Macaca mulatta: one gene and its partner. The protein of the gene in region 2 purifies or fractionates together with the protein of the main gene of each other region. This does not show direct contact. Links are inferred from orthologs where the notes say so. Each region holds a gene or a part of one and is shown on either strand. Other genes may lie near its edges.

What was found. Proteins that work in one complex are often made in the same cells at the same time.
Region 1: the proteins of CUL4A (region 2) and PWP1 purify together in Homo sapiens (affinity purification with western blotting; 6 studies listed by BioGRID and IntAct, with this or other methods). This does not show direct contact. The link is inferred for Macaca mulatta from reciprocal best matches to the Homo sapiens genes CUL4A and PWP1.

The regions. Positions count from the first base shown.
Region 1 is NC_133416.1:114,886,849-114,891,383, forward strand, and holds part of PWP1 (periodic tryptophan protein 1 homolog), read left to right. Parts: intron 1-1,241; coding exon 1,242-1,300; intron 1,301-1,408; coding exon 1,409-1,596; intron 1,597-4,535.
Region 2 is NC_133422.1:107,484,507-107,489,041, forward strand, and holds part of CUL4A (cullin-4A), read left to right. Parts: intron 1-270; coding exon 271-389; intron 390-3,724; coding exon 3,725-3,917; intron 3,918-4,535. UniProt on the Homo sapiens protein: Core component of multiple cullin-RING-based E3 ubiquitin-protein ligase complexes which mediate the ubiquitination of target proteins. As a scaffold protein may contribute to catalysis through positioning of the substrate and the ubiquitin-conjugating enzyme.

The DNA of each region.
Region 1 (4,535 bases), on a different chromosome or scaffold from region 2:
GGGAATGTCAGTTGTGAAGTAGAGAGATTGAATTCAGCTTTGAACCTGGTAATATTAGGCTAAAGGATATTCAGGTGGGAAGTCTTGTAGGCAGTTGGAGAAATGGAAAATGGAATACAAGATTAGAGAGAAGAAAGTTTGGAGTAATCAGTTCAGAGGTGGTGGTTTCAGTCTTGAGAATGAATGAGCTTTGCAAGGACGTGAGCCTGATGAGTGACGGTGTGGCAGTGATAATAGGGAAAAGAACAGAGGACTAGGCCAGGCGCAGTGGGTCACGCCTATAATCCCAGCACTTTGGAAGGCCGAGGCAGGTGGATCACGAGGTGAGGGGTTCGAGACCAGCCTGACCAACATGGTGAGACCCCTGTCTCTACTAAAAATACAAAAATTATCCAGGCATGGTGGCACATGCCTGTAATCCCAGCTACTCAGGAGGCTGAGGCAGGAGAATCGCTTGAACCCAGGAGGCGGAGGTTGCAGTGAGCCGAGATAGCGCCATTGCACTCCAGCCTGGGTGACACAGTGACACTCTGTCTCAAAAAAAACCCAAAAAAAACAGAAAACAGAGGACTAATTTAAGGGTGGTTTGTTAAGGAATGCCCCCAGGGAAGAGAGGGAGGTGCCCTAGATAGGGTCAGAGATAGTTGGAAGAAAACCAGAGGAGTACCACAGAGCCACTTTACCAAAACCAGTCTTTGGGGTTTTAAGACTGAGAGGTAGAGTAGAATGAGCATGAATTTTTGAAGTTTCAGGTGGGGAGGGATCTTAATTATAAGGATCTATGAAATCTATATTTTTTTTTTTTTTTTTTTGAGACGGAGTCTCACTCTGTCGCCCAGGCTGGAGTGCAGTGGCGCGATCTCGGCTCACTGCAAGCTCCGCCTCCCGGGTTCACGCCATTCTCCTGCCTCAGCCTCCCGAGTAGCTGGGACTACAGGCGCCCACAACCGCGCCCGGCTAATTTTTTGTATTTTTAGTAGAGACGGGGTTTCACCGTGGTCTCGATCTCCTGACCTTGTGATCCGCCCGCCTCGGCCTCCCAAAGTGCTGGGATTACAGGCGTGAGCCACCGCGCCCGGCGAAATCTATATTTTTTTAATGTAGAGTCTAGATGTTTGATTCTTATCTTGATGACATTGCTTGGCATTACATTTTACATTTGTTTGCAAACTACTTTTTAATTCAAAGAATTCTGATGATTTCCTTACACATATTGTAATGAAATCTTTGCTCTCTTACAGGTAGAGCTGAGTAAAGAAGAAGTAAAACGTCTCATTGCTGAGGCAAAGGAGAAATTGCAGTTAAGTTTAGGACCAGATGAAATCTGCATCTTAAATGATGACCAGGTGTGGTCTTGTTATTGGAAGGTGCCATTTGGGTGATTCTCTTTTTCTTTCTCTGCTCATAGAGAAGGTGGTGGTGGCAGTGATGAAGAGGAGATAGGCAGTCCTTCAGAAGATGGCATGCAGAGTGCACGCACCCAGGCACGCCCAAGAGAGCCCCTGGAGGATGGTGACCCAGAGGATGACAGGACGCTCGATGAGGATGAGCTGGCTGAGTACGACTTAGATAAATATGATGAGGAAGATGACCCAGGTTAGAGCGTATCCACTTCTACTGGTTTGTAATTATAAGCTTAATATGTTGGATCATGTTTGTGGTGTTCCAAAGCTTTACTCTTAGATTTTATTGTTCTTGATATCAGTAAGATAATCTGGTTGAAGACTTGGGCAGACAGCATGATTCCTAAACTAGTTTAGAAGATAAACTTTAACTCACTAATGTAAGATACAAATCTAGGATCTAAAAAAAAAAAGTACGGTGTATTTTATTGCATATATCAGGTTTAATCATTTGTAACCCACTTGTGAGTTTTTGTATGTAGTTACAATGCTATGGTGTGCTTGAACTTATATCCACGTACCTTTTCCTCAACTGCAGTCGGTTTTCTCAGAATACAGTAGTGCCCCCTTATCCACGGTTTTGCTTTCTTTGGTTTCAGTTAGCCACAGTCAACTACAGTCTGAAAATAGGTGAGTAAAGTACAGTTTTTTGAGAGAGATGACTTTCATATAACTTTTATTACAGTATATTATTATAATTATTTGATTCCTAGGTACATATAGGAAAAACAATGTATATAAGGTTTGTGTACTATCTGCGGTTTTAGACCACCACTAAGCGTCTTGGAATGTATCCCCTGTGGATAAGGGGGGACTACTGTGTGCATTTTGAGATGCTGTTGTTGGAGATAATTAGAAAAGGAGACCAGGTGCGGTGACTCACCCCTGTAATCTCGGCACTTTGGGAGGCCAAGACGGGTGGATCACTTGAGGTCAGGAGTTCAAGACCAGCCTGGCCAACGTGGCGAAACCCCGTCTCTACTAAAAATACAAAAATTAGCCAGGCATGGTGGCAGGCCCCTGTAATCCCAGCTACTCAGGAGGCTGAGGCAGGAGAATTGCTTGAACCTGGGAGGTGGAGGCTGCAGTGAGCCAAGATCGTACCACTGCGCTCCAGCCTGGGTAACACAGTGAGACTGCATCTCAAAAAGCAAAAGAAAATCATGGGTGGGAAGAGAAAAAGGAAATAGAGCAGAAGACAGATTAGAATTAGAAGTTTGTATAGAAAGCCTTGCGGGGGAATAAAGTGAGCTGAGATGACAACTATGTATATTGCTTTTCTGAGGGAAGTAAGTATAAAGATGAAAACGGTCTGACAAAAGCTGGGTAAGCTCGCTTTGTTTCTTTTGGAATGTGCTACCCTAAGTGGTTTGAGAAATAGGCATTTGGCACACTGAGCAGGTTAAATAAGTTATTTATTTAACTTGTAAATCTCAGTCTGCATATTTGGGAGCTGAAGGGACTCCTGGAATCCTGATAGCTAGAATCAGCTACTTCCAAGTTATAAAATCAAAATATAGATGATCTGAAACAAAAATTAACTCTTAATACAAATGTTATCTGTGACAAAGTAAAATCACAACTACCTGTTAAATCGCAGCTACCTGTTAAATTGGTGGTTAAAATACTACATAAGAAAGTCACAGCAGAGCTGAGCATGGTGGCTCATGTCTGTAATCCCAGCTACTTGGGAGGCTAAGGCAGCAGGATCGCTCAAGCCCAGGAGTTCAAGGCTGCAGTGAACTAAGATCACACTGCACTCCATCCTGGACGACAGTGAGACACCATGTCTAAATAATTTTAAAAGTTTTAAAGAGTCTTACAGCAATTATAATCAGACAATTAAAAATATCCGTGTTAGAGTATCATTGAAATGCTGAGTAAAATAATATACCTTTTGTGTGTATGAGACAGAATCTTGCTCTGTTGCCCAGGCTAGAGTGCTGTGGCGTGATCTCGGCTCACTGCAGCCTCCCAATCCCTAGTTCAAGCGATTCTCCTGCCTCAGCCTCCTGAGTGCTGAGATTACAGGCACACGCCACCACACCCAACTAATTTTTGTATTTTTAGTAGAGACGGGTTTCACCATGTTGGCCAGGATGGTCTCGATCTCCTGACCTCACGATCTGCCCGCCTTGGCCTGAAAAACTCCAGAGATGGGGAGAGGAAGGGTCAAAAATGACATTGAGGAAATAGTGTTAATTGTTAAAGCAAGGTAATACAAGGTTCATGATGCCCTCTCTACTAATGTTCATTTTTCAAAATTTCTATAATAGAACGTTTTAAAAAAATCAGACACATACGGGTTGATGGTGAGCACTTCCAGATACCCAATCTGTGGGGTATCTGGAAGAGCAGTGTGGTTGGAGTGTGTGCAGAATAGGACATGAGACATGGTCTGTGTTGGGCACAGGAAGAGCAGTAAACAACGGACATGCAATGAGAAATGAGGAAGTAGGTTCTGGATGGAGATGGGATTGACCAAAGTCAATTAGCTGTCTTGGCCTGAATGCCTCAGGCGGGGCATGTTTGAGCCCTGTAGATAACATTGTGGAGGTAGAACTGAGCCAAGTAAGAGGAAAATTTAGTGGAATGTGACAAACTATAGGAAGCCTTTAGTGCCAGAGCAGTGTTGAGCTTGACCTGATGTGTGTGATGGTAACAGCCTGGAAAAAGACCCAAAGAAGGGGAAATGCTTGGCAGGTTGATCTGCATGAGTGAAGCACAGAGAAGGTGGACGGGGAGTTGCTGGGAAGTCTGGGAAAAAGACTTACTGGGTCCCAGTAAACTTAGGATACCAGGCTTAGCAGTCTGTGTGTTCTCAGTGCGGGAGGAAATCATTAAAGGTTTTTGAGCATGGAACACATGATAATTGAACATGCACTTTAGGAAGTTAACTCTGGCAGCAGTGGAGAACAGGTTGGGAGATAGGGTGAATCTCTTAGAGGAGCAGAAACTTAAGACAAATTAGGCCAGAAGCAATGAGGGCCTGGCTTGGGGCACTAGGAATGAGGAGGAGAGGACATGGAAGAAAGGGATTGCAGAGGTAGCTGGGAGTTTTGCAGCATCCTTCCAGAATTGATATCTCTAGTTTCTGTCTTATTATTGGTGGTGTACCTCTTTTCCTTCAGA
Region 2 (4,535 bases):
CTAACTTTAGTGAAATAAGAGGGCTTCAGTGACATGAAGAAGTAAATAATACATCTTCCAACATACTCAGAAAAAATGAGGTTCACCTAATAGGATCCATCTCAGATATTTAACCAGATCAACCTTCTCATATACAGGCAGTGATGTGTAGAGCCGCCCAGTTTCTAAGCGGTGTATTGGCGTTCTTACCCTGCACGCTGTATTCTAGTTGAGTTATTGTTGTTAATGCTGCCCATGCTGTACTCTGCTGACGTGTACTGCACATCTCAGGGCTTGACCACTTACTGGACGAGAACAGAGTGCCGGACCTCGCGCAGATGTACCAGCTGTTCAGCCGGGTTAGGGGCGGGCAGCAGGCGCTGCTGCAGCACTGGAGCGAGTACATCAAGGTACTGGTGGGGTTTCGAGGCCACAGGCGCGGGCGTTTCCTGCAGGGAGCAGAGCCCCTCCTGAGAACACCCAGTGCCCTGACAAAGGGAACTGGGCTGCTGGAGGGCCGGTTGGCATTTTCATCATAGATGATAGGGTGGATGGTAGTGTTCCATCTGCTTCCCCATCACCAGTGTGAATTTGCTTTTTAAGATAACACCAGCAGTGATTAGCACCATCCAGGTAGAAAGTATAACTTAAAGATCAACAGTTTTGCTCTTCTTCATCAGCGTAAATATTGGTTTAATTCTAAATCATGATTTTTCTGAAAGTAATCATTTTTGTAAATCTGCTTGTCAGACAAGATCTCCTCATGCCCTTAGCTCAGTGAGAACTATTATCTATTTGGCATATTAGGTAGCTTTATAGACTTTATTTCTTAACAGACCAAATTTAGGATTTGTTACTTAAACTTTCGCTTTCATGTTTCGAAAGCATTTCTTTGGCATCCCTGACAAGCCCAATCTAACCCGTCATAGAGTGGCTTCTTGGGCAGTACCCTGAGTTTTCACGTGTCCTGCCCAGGAGAACAGCCCCTCGGTGCTGACATAGGACCTCCCTGAAGACTAGGGGCTCTCGGCCCAGGGCACCACCCCACCAAGGGGACACTTGTTGATGTGTGGAGACGTTTGTGGCTGTCTGAACAGAGAGGGCACTGCTTGCTCTGCTGGGCAGCCCCGGGGTGCTCCTGAATGCACGAGGCAGCCCTCACCACAGAGAATCGCCTGCCCAGAGTGCCAGTGTTGCCCAGCCCAAGAAACCTACTGAAGACCCTCTATAATGAGAAGCCATTCTCCAGATGCCCCTTACAGAAACAGGAGAACTGAGGCAAACATCAGGGCCCCTTCACAGATAACTCGTGTTTTCAGCGTGTGCCAGTTGCATGAATTTTCCAGCTTAAATGGTGAGCGTTTACCAGGAGTCTGTGTGTGTGCTTGCTGGTGACTATTCTTAGATCCCAGAATGAAAAGATAGATAAAATTTCCAGAGAATTACGCTGAGAGAAAAAAAAAAAAAGCCAATCGCAGATACTTAACATGTTATTGCATAACATTCTGGAAATGGCAAAATTTGGAAATGGAGGACAGATGAAAAGTTACCAGGGTGTAGGGATGGAGCGGGGTGTGTGGTTATAAAAGGCCCCAGGAGGTAGCCTTCTGCAGGAACTGTTGGGGTTTTGGCCGAGGTCTAGATGTGCACACCCAGATGAGTTACAAGTCAACTGGGCCATCTGAAAAAGACCTGGGGGGTTATCAGTGTCAGTATCCCGGTTGAGATACTGTTCTGTAGTTTTGCAAACTTGCCATTGGAGGAAACTATGGAAAACAAAGATACTGGGATTGCTTTGCTATTTTTACTATTATGCAGCACTTTCATTATCTCATAAGATTTCCATTAAGTAAAAAAGATAAATGAACACTTACGTGCTGCTTTATGGAATAATCAGACCTCAAGTCACGTATCAGTCCAGCTATGCAAAGCCGGCACACCTAGCAGCTCTCCCCACAAGGTCTTGTACAGCGACGTTGAATTGGAAGTTACAACTGAGTCACACTAAATTGGCCATAAAGCTACTGAAGATTTAGGTTTTTTGCCAGTGAGACAGTCTTCAGGGGATGAGAATATGTGCTAAAAAACTAGGAAAAGTTCACCTTTGCAGTTTCCAGTCTGGGTAATAAAAATCAGTGAGTGACCGTCACCCCTGAGTGTCAGCAGTAAGCAGTTATGCTATAACAAAATAGTGGTTTCCATTCAACTCCACATGCCGTTGTCAAAGTAAAGCTGTGCCCTTTCTGTTGGCATCTTTTTTTTTTTTTTTTTTTTTTTTTGAGACAGAGTCTCGCTCTGTCATCCAGGCTGGAGTGCCGTGGCATGATCTCAGCTCATTGCAACCTCTGCCTCCTGGGTTCAAGCATTTCCCTGCCTCAGCCTCCTGAGTAGCTGGGATTACAGGCTCCCGCCACCACACCCAGCTAATTTTTGTATTTTTAGTAGAGACGGGGTTTCACCATATTGTCCAGGCTGATCTTGAATTCTGGACCTCGTGATCCACCCGCCTCGGCCTCCCAAAGTGCTGGGATTACAGGCATGAGCCACTGCGCCCAGCCTTCTGTTGGCATCTTTCCACCGGCCAGCTACCTCGTGTGTGTGTGTGACATGTGAGTGCACGTGTGCATTGTATTGAGACACATTTTTTAAATCCAATAATTGTATTCAGTTCCTCTTGAGCAAATGTAGTTTATGTCATCAAATAGTTAACTTTTTTAGTGCCACACACTTTTAGGAATGTTTAATATAACATTTTTTAATTAAAAAAACAAACTAGGCTGGGCGCAGTGGCTCACGCCTGCAATCCTACCACTTTGGGAGGCCAAGGCGGGCGGATCATGAGATCAAGAGATCGAGACCATCCTGGCCAACATGATGAAACCCCCGACTCTACTAAAAGTACAAAACTTTGCCGGGTGTAGTGGTGTGCACCTGTAGTCCCAGCTACCTGGGAGAATCACTTGAAGCGGCAGGAGGAGGTTGCAGTGAGCCAAAATCATGCCACTGCACTCTAGCCTGGTGACAAAGCAAGACTCTGTCTCAAATAAAAAAAAAATACAAACTTAAAAAATGAGCTTTTCATTATTTGAAGTGATGGAGAAAGAAAACTAGCTAAGAAGTCCCAAGAGGTATATTTAATTAATAAGAATTACCTTGTCTTGGAGGAACTTACACATAAACATTCTTTTAAAAGCAATGGACATTTTCCCAGTCATTTGTAAGTTCTCTCAGAAACAGAATCGTAAAAACAAGGCATTAATAATGTGTTTAATTGTATATTCACATCAAGCACAGGGCTCATGCCTGTAAACCCAGCACTTCAGGAAATCACAGTGGGAGGGTTGCTTGAGGCCAGGAGTTCGAGACCAGCCTGGGCAGCATGACCGCGTCTCTACAAAACTTTAAAAAGATTGGCCAGATGTGCTGACCTGAGCCTGTAGCACCAACTACTCAGGAGGCTGAGGTGGGAGGATTGCTTGAGCTTGGGAGGTCGAGGCTGCGGTGAACCGTGATTGTACCACCGCACTCCAGCCTCGGCTACAGAGTGAGGCCCTGCCTTAAAAAATAAATCAAAAAGTATATTCACTTAATTTTTGAGATGTGAATTCAATTTGTGAAACTTTTAAAGTTATTGCTTACTACTAAGAGTAATTTGTATTAAACTATCCTGATTATATGATAGCAGGAAAAATATTGTTTGGTATTATAAACGTATTGCTGAGTTGGTATTGATTTGCTTTTGTAGACTTTTGGGACAGCGATCGTCATCAATCCTGAGAAAGATAAAGACATGGTCCAAGACCTGTTGGACTTCAAGGACAAGGTGGACCACGTGATCGAGGTCTGCTTCCAGAAGAACGAGCGGTTCGTCAACCTGATGAAGGAGTCCTTTGAGACGTTCATTAATAAGAGACCCAACAAGCCTGCAGAACTAATCGGTAGAAAAATATTTTCTTTTTTTTTTTTTTTTTTTTTTTTTGAGACGGTCTCACCCATTTCTAGACAATTTTTTAATGTGGGAAAATAAGGCACAATCAACCAAAATGTTCAAGCTGCTCAAGGGGTGTGTGGAAAACGTTTTTATCAAGTCTTATTAGGACACACGTTTAAAAACTGACACACCTGCATGCATGGGTGGAGGAGGGCATTTCCTTAAGGGAAGATGAAGGAGGAATTTAGAAAAGAAGTGACGCTTGACTTCGCCAAAGAAGGGAGATCACCATCTTTGTATCCTCTAATCAGTATTAAAATAGGATAAAACCAGATGAGATCTCAAAAGATAGCATATTTTAAAATACTGTTTTTAAGTTTTACAATTTTTTCACAATAATATCAAAATGTATTTCAGAATTCATGGGCTTTCTCATAGGCTTTCTTTAGTCAGTAAAATTTTTTAATTTGAAGGAGAAAGGGGGCAAAGAGAACTGTAATAGATGATACTAGATTGTTGATTACTGCTGAAGTGGAAGATGGAACATGGAGCTTATTGTGCAGTTGTCTACGTTTCTGTGTGTTCAAAATATTCTGTTACAAAATTTTGAAAAGAAAAAAACTAA